Arabidopsis thaliana: one gene and its partner. The protein of the gene in region 1 interacts with the protein of each later gene in a pairwise test. Each region holds a gene or a part of one and is shown on either strand. Other genes may lie near its edges. The genes, in order: LBD35 and AT4G23860.

Region 1 (3,344 bases):
AAATGGTGATGAGAAAAAAGTTGACGCTGAAGATGAACCAATGTCTCTCTCGGAGTTGTCCACAAACTTTCAGAAGTGCTTTAAATCCATGAATAAGAGCAAGAAGGCCCAAAAGCAGACCGAGTTTTTAAACATAGAGCCTTTTGATTATGAAGCTGCAAGGAAAGAGGTGAAATTTGGGGAAGGACACAAGGGAAGACAAGGAAAGAGAGAAGCTGCAGCAGGTCAGAAGAAGGGGTCTACACAGGAGCAGTCAGAGTTTGGTCAAGGAAAACGGCGTCAAGCTTTTCCGGCATCCGGGAACCGAAGTATGTCCTTTAAAAATTGATCTTCTGGCAGTCAATATTGATTGATGGTTCTGTTTAAGATCATTTATTTGTTTTGGTTGTGGGCTATGGTGAATTTTATGTTTTGATCGTTTTCATTTTATCAACTTCATAACTCAAACTTTGATGGGACTTAGGGATACAAACTCTTAGCTCAAACCATCAAATCTGATTCATAGTTAAGATTATGAACCAGTCTCCTTGTGCTTTTATATATATATCTAGTTTAGTGTCTGGCTTGAAGTAGTAAAGTTCTTGTTCCAGTCAATTGTTTTACTCAACTTTCATTCTCAAGTTTTATCTTTCGAAAACTGAAGCTAATCTCTCATCTGATTGATCAAATAATCTATATGTTTTAAATGATCTTCAAATGTAATATGGTTATAGACTAATCAAAATAAAACGAAACATTATTTGAAGTTCAAATTGATAAAACAACCGAAATATTACATGAAGTTCTGACGAAATGATATAAAACAAAGGAAATGACACCAAATTATTATGGGAATTGAGATGCAAAAATAAAATAAACACAAAAGACATTTAATTAGAACTATGGTTGGTTATGGTTTTGAGGAAATGGAAGGGTCTTCTGAGTTGCACTGGTCCCTCCAGATGTTGATGCGCATGCATCCCCATGACCACCACATATCTTTATATTTCCTCTCTTCCTAAACATTTCATTCACTATAACTTGCGCATCAACAGGTGGTAGTTGCATAAGTTCCTTCTTTTGAACCTCATCTAGTCCCTCCATCTTTTCAATATAAGGATGTAAAGAAAACTTATTAGTCAAAAAATCAGCTGGCATAGGAATACTTGAATATTGCGGAACGTTATCAAGTCCAATGATGGCTGCAAGCTCATTCTTTGCAGAATTGATTTGTTCATCTAAATTTTGAAGCTGATTTTTGTAGTGGTTAAAGATGCCAACACAACCAAATATGGGGTCACGTTCAAGAGCCTCGGCCTCGTAACACAAAGCGTTTACAGCAGTTTCACGTTGGATAGGATCCAGATTAGCTAGGATCTTGAAGACATTACCCGCTCCAAATATTCTGTGAAGGCGTTCGAAAGTTTCGAGATTGGTCAATGGGAAATGTGGTGCAAATATACAATTAGGAGCACAATCACATTTCATGACCTTGCATGCAGAGCAACATGTGGAATTCATTCTTCTTCTTTTTTTTTCTCGCTTACCTAGTAACCAAAAAACATATATGAGAATAAAATCATCCAAAAAATTTATATATGCATATTTTCTGTATATTAACAATATGATTACCTCAAGAATCTTGAATATTCTGATATCACAAAAGAATTAAGGTCCAATAAATGTGGTTGATGTGCTATGGTAAAAAATGGTTGTGTGGGTTTTATAGTCAAGCCTTGAAACATTATTCAAGTTGTAATTTTACTTATTTAGGTAAGTTAGCAATGAATCCAATAAATATCAGTTTGATTTCTTGTTTATGCTTTTTTCTAGATAACTAGTAATAATATAATAGATTTGACTAATACATACTTCATTCTTTTGGCAAGATAATAAAATGAAGTAGTCAAGTCAAATCTATCAAATTATTACTAGTTATGGAGAAAACTCATATACAGGAAGTTCAATTGATAATTAATGGATTCATTGTCAACTTACCTAAATAATTAAATAGGAGTTTGATAGATTTTGACTAAAACACTTCATTCTTTTGGCAAGCTAATGAAAAAAAAATTCTTAAAAAAGGAAAATCTTTTTCAATGCATTGACTAAGTGACTTTCTATTGACAAAACCTAACCAAACCGAAGTTTCTAAACCAAACCAAGATCTTTGGTGTTTGAATCGGTTTGAGTAATGAGATCAAAACCGATTGGCAACAATTGTATATGCAATAGGTTATTTGTTCGGTCTTGTTCTGTTCATATTTACTGAGCGGCTAACCAAAGTAAAAACAAAAACAAAAACAAAAACCCTAATTTCCGCCTTTATCGCCAAATCGACAAGCCTTTCCGTAATTACTTTTGATTTTCTACATAATTTGAGATCTAGATATGTAAATCAATACCAGAATCATGCTTTTGAATTTTCAAAATATCTAGAAATAAGGGTTCCACAAGTGATGGCATACCAAAAGAAAAAAATTGTTCAAACGATATCCATCACCCCCATCACAAAAACTTTATATACTACAAGAAAACATGGTGAAATACTACCTATTTTCCTACGAAAAATTTGGTATGAAAGATATGAAATATTTCCTACCATATCTCTACGATTTTCTTACGAAAACAGATTTTGTAGATGAAAGATATGAAATATTTCCTACCATATCTCTACGATTTGTTATGAAAACAGTTTTTGTAGGAAATTAGTAGAAAATTTTCATACGAAACTTATCGTGAGAAAGTTATACGAAATTTCTACAAAATATATAGTTGAAGGAAAATTTGTAGGAGATTAGAAAGAAATTTATGGGAAAAGAAATGATAAGAATTGGGTCGGAAAATATCCTTTTAATTCCCTATGAAAACTATATTGAAGGAATTTGGTAGGAAATTACTAGGACGCGGACTAAGGAATTTTTTTATCTGGGTCAAATAAGATATAGAAAAATTGGTATATTTATAGTTTTGGAAAGTTGAATGTAATATTAGAAGAATCTGACAAAAGAAACGGTGACAACAAAATATATGGGCTACGGCCCAATAAAATATATGAGAAAAAATGGCAACAACGGGAATCGATCCTGCATTTGTGTGGGGGGGTGGGGGTGGGGGTCAAAATTGTAGCTTCATACCAAATCAGTCACCGAAACAAGATGAAAACTATTTAAGATTTAAACCGGAAAATTTCCTAAAAATCTCAAACTATTTAAAACGGGTTTAGGTAGTTTTCTGGCAGATTTTAAATAAGTTGGGTTTTTTTCGGGAATTTTCCCGATTTAAAACTAAAGGGTGTCAAATGACCCCTCTTTTCACCACATGGGTCCGCCATTGGGACCAACTTTTCCAATTTCCTACGAAAA
Region 2 (5,295 bases), on another chromosome or scaffold:
AGTTCTTATAATAATAACATAAGAACACAAAAATAATTCATGATATTTTACATGTAGACGTAAATGTCATTAAGAAGCGCGATCATATCAGATGATCCTATCATTAAGCACTACGCGTAATACAATAATTGGATCGTTATCAAATTCTTCTTATCGAAACGAAACTTCGTGGAAATTTACAAAAGGACAACACAAGTACGTGGTGGTGTCACGGGGGCTGTCGTTACTCTAAGGGCCCAACACTCACGAGCTTCCAACTTCGATCTATATTTTCTTAAAAACAACAATAACTCATGTCGACAACAAAAAAACACTAATAAGTAATAACTGACCTAGAATTAATATTCGGTTAAGTGATTTCTGGCAAACTTTTTTTTTTTTTTTGGTCAGGCCTACAATACTATTTAATTAATTTTTGTCATAACAAAAAACATGATGACCTCACATGTAAACTGAATTTGGTTTTCCGAAGCCCAAAACCTAATTCTTAGTACTTTAGAAGGCCCAATTTATAATAGTTTTTTACTTTGCGTGTGTAGTTTGTAGTAGCTCTTCTTTTAGCATGCTCCATAGAGCTTCTTAAAGGAGCTTCCGGAGTTACAAAGCGGTATATTAACAATCTCCTACATCCAACAAAAGAGCACATGAGATTGCGAAATGTGTAATTGATGATCTTCGACTTCCTTAGTATGTCGCAAGACATTACCGATGTGTAATTGTTGCTCTGTTCCTTACCTTTTTGGCTCTCTCTCTGTTAATGAGTTGTTTTGACAATGGGGCATCGTTGGTTATAATAAAAGACGATAAAAAGCTCTCCTTTTAGCATGCTCAAAGTATTTCCGAGTCCAAGACACATTATGAAGATAAGAGTATTTACTAAATTCATATAAAAATAGTTGGAAAGATAAAAGTAAATAGTAGTTCTAGAACTAGTAGCTTATTATATATAGTAGTCGACTGTTTCATAAGCTACAAACTTCATGCACTAAAGTAAAAAGTTGGTTGCATTACTTAGGAAACTAAAGACAGACAAGAGCAGAGGAAGAGGAAAGAAACCTCCTCATTCTTCATTTCAAACCAACGAAACAACATATATCTAAAAAAAGTTAACATGAAATGTCGAAAGAAAGACTTACTACCTTTATAACTCCTCTCACTCCATCCTTTTACGTTTGTTTTTCAGTTTTGAAAACATTTGCTCGATATCTGCAGAAGTTATCGCCTTTGATGGCCCAGCAGACTCCTACAAAACCAACAACGAATCAAGTCTTTTTAAATGAAGTGGTTCCTGAGAATTGTAATCAAATTTCTTTCATAGATGGTGACAATATATACCATTAAACCCTGGAGTCCGTCTTGGAAGTCTTTGATTCCGTGAAGGAGCTCAACTTTGGATACGTGGTCTAGATTATTCAGAAGATCAAGTGCTTCACCTTCTTGTTTCTCCAGTTTCTCTGTTCTTTTTTCCTTCGCCTTCTTCTCGTATTCAACAATTGTGTCCTCTGCATCAAGTAGATAGCTTACCTTTCTCTGCTTATACATCTCAAGGCACTTTTCGCATCTGCATAGGATGTTCCTCCAGTTTTTGGTCAAAAACAAAGGTTTCTTCTCAAACTCAGGACACGAGTTTAGATCAGTCCTAATAACACAACCAGCTGCAGGAACATTTTCAGAGCCATCGATCTTCTCAGAACATTTCCGCACAACGAATTTCTCGGCTTCAGTACTGTTCTCAGGCTGGCCGGCTTCAGATTCATCGATCTTCTCAGAACATTTTTGCACAACAGATTTCTCGGCTTCAGTGCCGTTCTCAGGCTGGCCAGGTTCTGAGTCACTGATCGTCTCAGAACATTTTCCTACAACAGATTTCTCAGCATCAGTACCGTTCTCTGGCTGGCCGGGTTCAGAATCCATGTGGTTTTTGTCTAACTCAATTGTCTCTGAACAAGCATTAGCAGAACCAGTGGAATCTACTTTAGCAACAACCCACAAGTTCTCAGGATAAAGTGTCAGAAACGAACATGCTGGGGAGCAGTTTTGACAAATGAAATCTTCATAGATCGGCTCACTTTCCTCATCCCTTGGAATCTGTTAACATCACATAACAAATTGCACTAAGCGCCAACAACAAAAAAAATCAATCGTAAACAACAAGATTAAGCACTGGCCACAAACCTGGCTACCAACACTGTCTGAAGGTGTGAGACCGAGATGCTCCTCATGAAACCAATCCTCACAGAGACAACACTGAATCATCTCTACTTGTTCTTCCACATTTGGGTCAGGGTAAGGTCGGTCGCAAGTGCAGTACAAGCCTTTGAAATTATGGTTGTAAGAATTTTCAGAGTTTTCTATATCTTTGCTCGGGAGAAGCTTACAAGCCAAAGTTCCAAACTTTGAGTTCCCGCAATCACATCGAAAATTTCTCTTAGTCCACAGCTCCAAAAGCTTCATAACCAGAACAATGTTCAACCATTAGGAAACCAATTAACACTATGAAATCAGATTTCAAAATACATAACCTGGCTATATATCAACCATATTTACCTCATGGCCATCATGACAAGATAAGCAACAAGCAGTGCAAATTCCAGCATTCCCCTCTGGTGTACATGTAATGCATGAGAAAATTGCTTGCCTTTTCATGTAACCCTTTGGGAAAGTACACTCATCTCCTTCATCTCCACCCAACACCAAATCCGCTGCCTTAACATCAAGAATCACAAAAGCAGTTAATGAATATTAAACCCCTAAACCCAAATAACATAGGATTACAGAAACAGATACACACTACTGAAATTAATAGAAACTAATTAAGAGACACACACTATCATTACTAGCTAGCCAAAACCTCAGAGACTGTACAATAACAATCCAACACACTCCACTAGCTTCAGAAAAGGTAGTCAATTTAAGGTCAGAATCCAATTTCAAGACGTTTGTTTACACTTAAATCTAAACGATTTATCACCAACCAAGGAGTGAAAATGTGGAAGAGTATTAAACTTTCGTAAGGATCAGAAACATACATAAGCTTTAAAACTGATCAAGAGGAGAAAGAGAACATTACCAGCTCTTCTGCGTCAAGCCTTTCGATATATTCATTGATCGTTATAGTTCCTTCAGCTTCATCCTCGAAAACACCAGATGCCATTGTCGCAATTATTCTTCACAAATTCCCACCTGAATTCACTACTAAAAACATGAAATTGGGTAAAATAAAAGCTATTCGAAAGACTCAAACGAGATATTCCCTAAATTCCTTAAAAAAAATGAAACCCTAGATTATTCGCAAAACATCAAACATGTCAATCGGACCATTACCAGGTTATTGATGGAGTTCTCAGACTTGTAAAAGCCCTAAAGCTTTTCACTTTTCAAGACATAGATAAACGAAGGCAGAGAGAGAGAGAAATTGGGGAAAACGAAGGTGGAGCTTAAGGGTTTGGAAGAAAGAAGGATCTAGCGGATGTTAAAATTCTTAAATGCGAGAAAATTTATGTATGTTATATAAAGGAAGGGACTTTATCGACATTTTCCCGCCATTAACCCTCCAATTCTATTACCCTTTTCCCTCCACTATCAGCAACTAAGCATAAGCACAAGATAAGTATTGTTACTTGATAATGTACATGTTAATATTAATTTGTATCGAGATTAAACGGATATCAAAATCTCAAATTCTTGCTTATATGGTTTTTTATGAATTGAAAATTTATATTTATTTTTTTGTTTTGATAACTAATGTTTAACAAATATCATATCTGTGTGCAACTAGTCAAATCTATCCACAAACACACATACTAATAGAGTAATAAGCATATTTTTAATTATCGTAGATTAATTGATAACCTCTAAAAAAAAAATTAAATTGGGGGATAAAATATTGATAAAATCTAAAGTTATTTAAATCAAAATCACACACTTTTTGTTTTGTTTCTTGACATCTTAATTATAAAATCTAAATATTGGCTAATATAAATTTCAATTTGGATAATATGACTTTATTGGGCCTAATATGATGATACGTATACGGCCCAATAAGAGGTTGAATATGACTTTGACTTTTTCAGGTTTATGGTCAGTGAGTAGCAACCAATCGCAGTCGTAGTTGAAAGTCTCTATTAACTTCTTCTCCGATCTGAGAAAACGCGTCAGAAGTTTCTCGTTCTACAGATAGAGAGAGAAGAGAACGAGAACGAAGTAGAGAGAGAGAGAGAGAGATCATGTCGCAGCAGAAGAAATACATCTTCCAAGTTGAAGAAGGCAAAGAAGGTAGCGATGGAAGACCATCAGTTGGTCCAGTGTACCGGAGTATCTTTGCCAAGGACGGATTTCCCGACCCGATCGAAGGAATGGATAGTTGTTGGGATGTTTTCCGGTGAGATTTCTCGTTTAACCGATCGGAGTTTGTGTTGCATGAGCCTCGTTTCCGATTCTTGCTGAGATTTTGATCCTTGATCTGTTGACTGATCATGGAATTTGTTCTGACTTGCGTTTTTTGCTCTTTATGGATTCTCAAGTAGTAAGAATCGTATAGTTTAATTTCGTCTAGTGTTTATCTGGATTTGATTCATGTTTGTTTAAGTTTTTCGGATCGCAAGATCTACCTAAGTTGCTCTAATCGATAGAAATATAATTTGTTGGTTAATGATTTTGCCATTTGTCTATAATAACATCGTTTTGAGTGGCATGTGATTAATTAACAGTTGCATGAATTTGGTTGACATTTTTTGTTTTGCTTTGTGTGTGGTTTGGTGATATTTTGTGGTTGTTGACTTACATTTTTCTACTGTTATTGTTTATTGCAGCATGTCTGTTGAGAAGTATCCAAACAATCCAATGCTGGGACGCCGCGAGATTGTAGATGGAAAGGTGTTGTTACTGTTTGTTATTGATTTTGATTTTGTGATTTTCGTTTCATGTTATTATAAAATTCACTTGTTATTTTGATTGTTCTTAGCCGGGTAAGTATGTCTGGCAAACATACCAAGAAGTCTACGACATTGTCATGAAACTTGGAAATTCTCTCAGAAGTGTTGGAGTTAAGGACGTAAGATCCATCTTTTTCCTTTCAGATATCTATATTCAGTCTCATTATTTCCTTTTTTTGTCGCAATGTGATTATTCCCTTGCTTAATCTTGTGTTTCCTGATATGTGGGATATTAGGAAGCAAAATGTGGTATCTATGGTGCAAATTCTCCTGAGTGGATTATCAGCATGGAGGTAATTTTGCGGCTGAATCATGATTATGTCATTGATTGTGTTTTGTTAGAGGACTGACAGTGCACTTT

The links.
Region 2: the proteins of LBD35 (region 1) and AT4G23860 interact in a two-hybrid assay, tested with the Arabidopsis thaliana proteins (one large-scale study listed by BioGRID).

The regions. Positions count from the first base shown.
Region 1 is NC_003076.8:14,026,855-14,030,198, reverse strand, and holds LBD35 (LOB domain-containing protein 35), read right to left. Parts: upstream 1,518-3,344; 5' UTR 1,501-1,517; coding exon 880-1,500; 3' UTR 773-879; downstream 1-772. Other genes in the region: AT5G35910 (Polynucleotidyl transferase, ribonuclease H fold protein with HRDC domain-containing protein), read left to right, coding at 1-328.
Region 2 is NC_003075.7:12,407,195-12,412,489, reverse strand, and holds AT4G23860 (PHD finger protein-like protein), read right to left. Parts: upstream 3,484-5,295; 5' UTR 3,325-3,483; intron 3,196-3,324; exon of another isoform or gene 3,193-3,195; 5' UTR 3,155-3,192; coding exon 3,071-3,154; intron 2,957-3,070; exon of another isoform or gene 2,707-2,956; coding exon 2,548-2,706; intron 2,449-2,547; coding exon 2,176-2,448; intron 2,089-2,175; coding exon 1,336-2,088; intron 1,244-1,335; coding exon 1,154-1,243; 3' UTR 812-1,153; downstream 1-811. Other genes in the region: LACS4 (AMP-dependent synthetase and ligase family protein), read left to right, coding at 4,227-4,381, 4,812-4,875, 4,964-5,053, 5,171-5,227.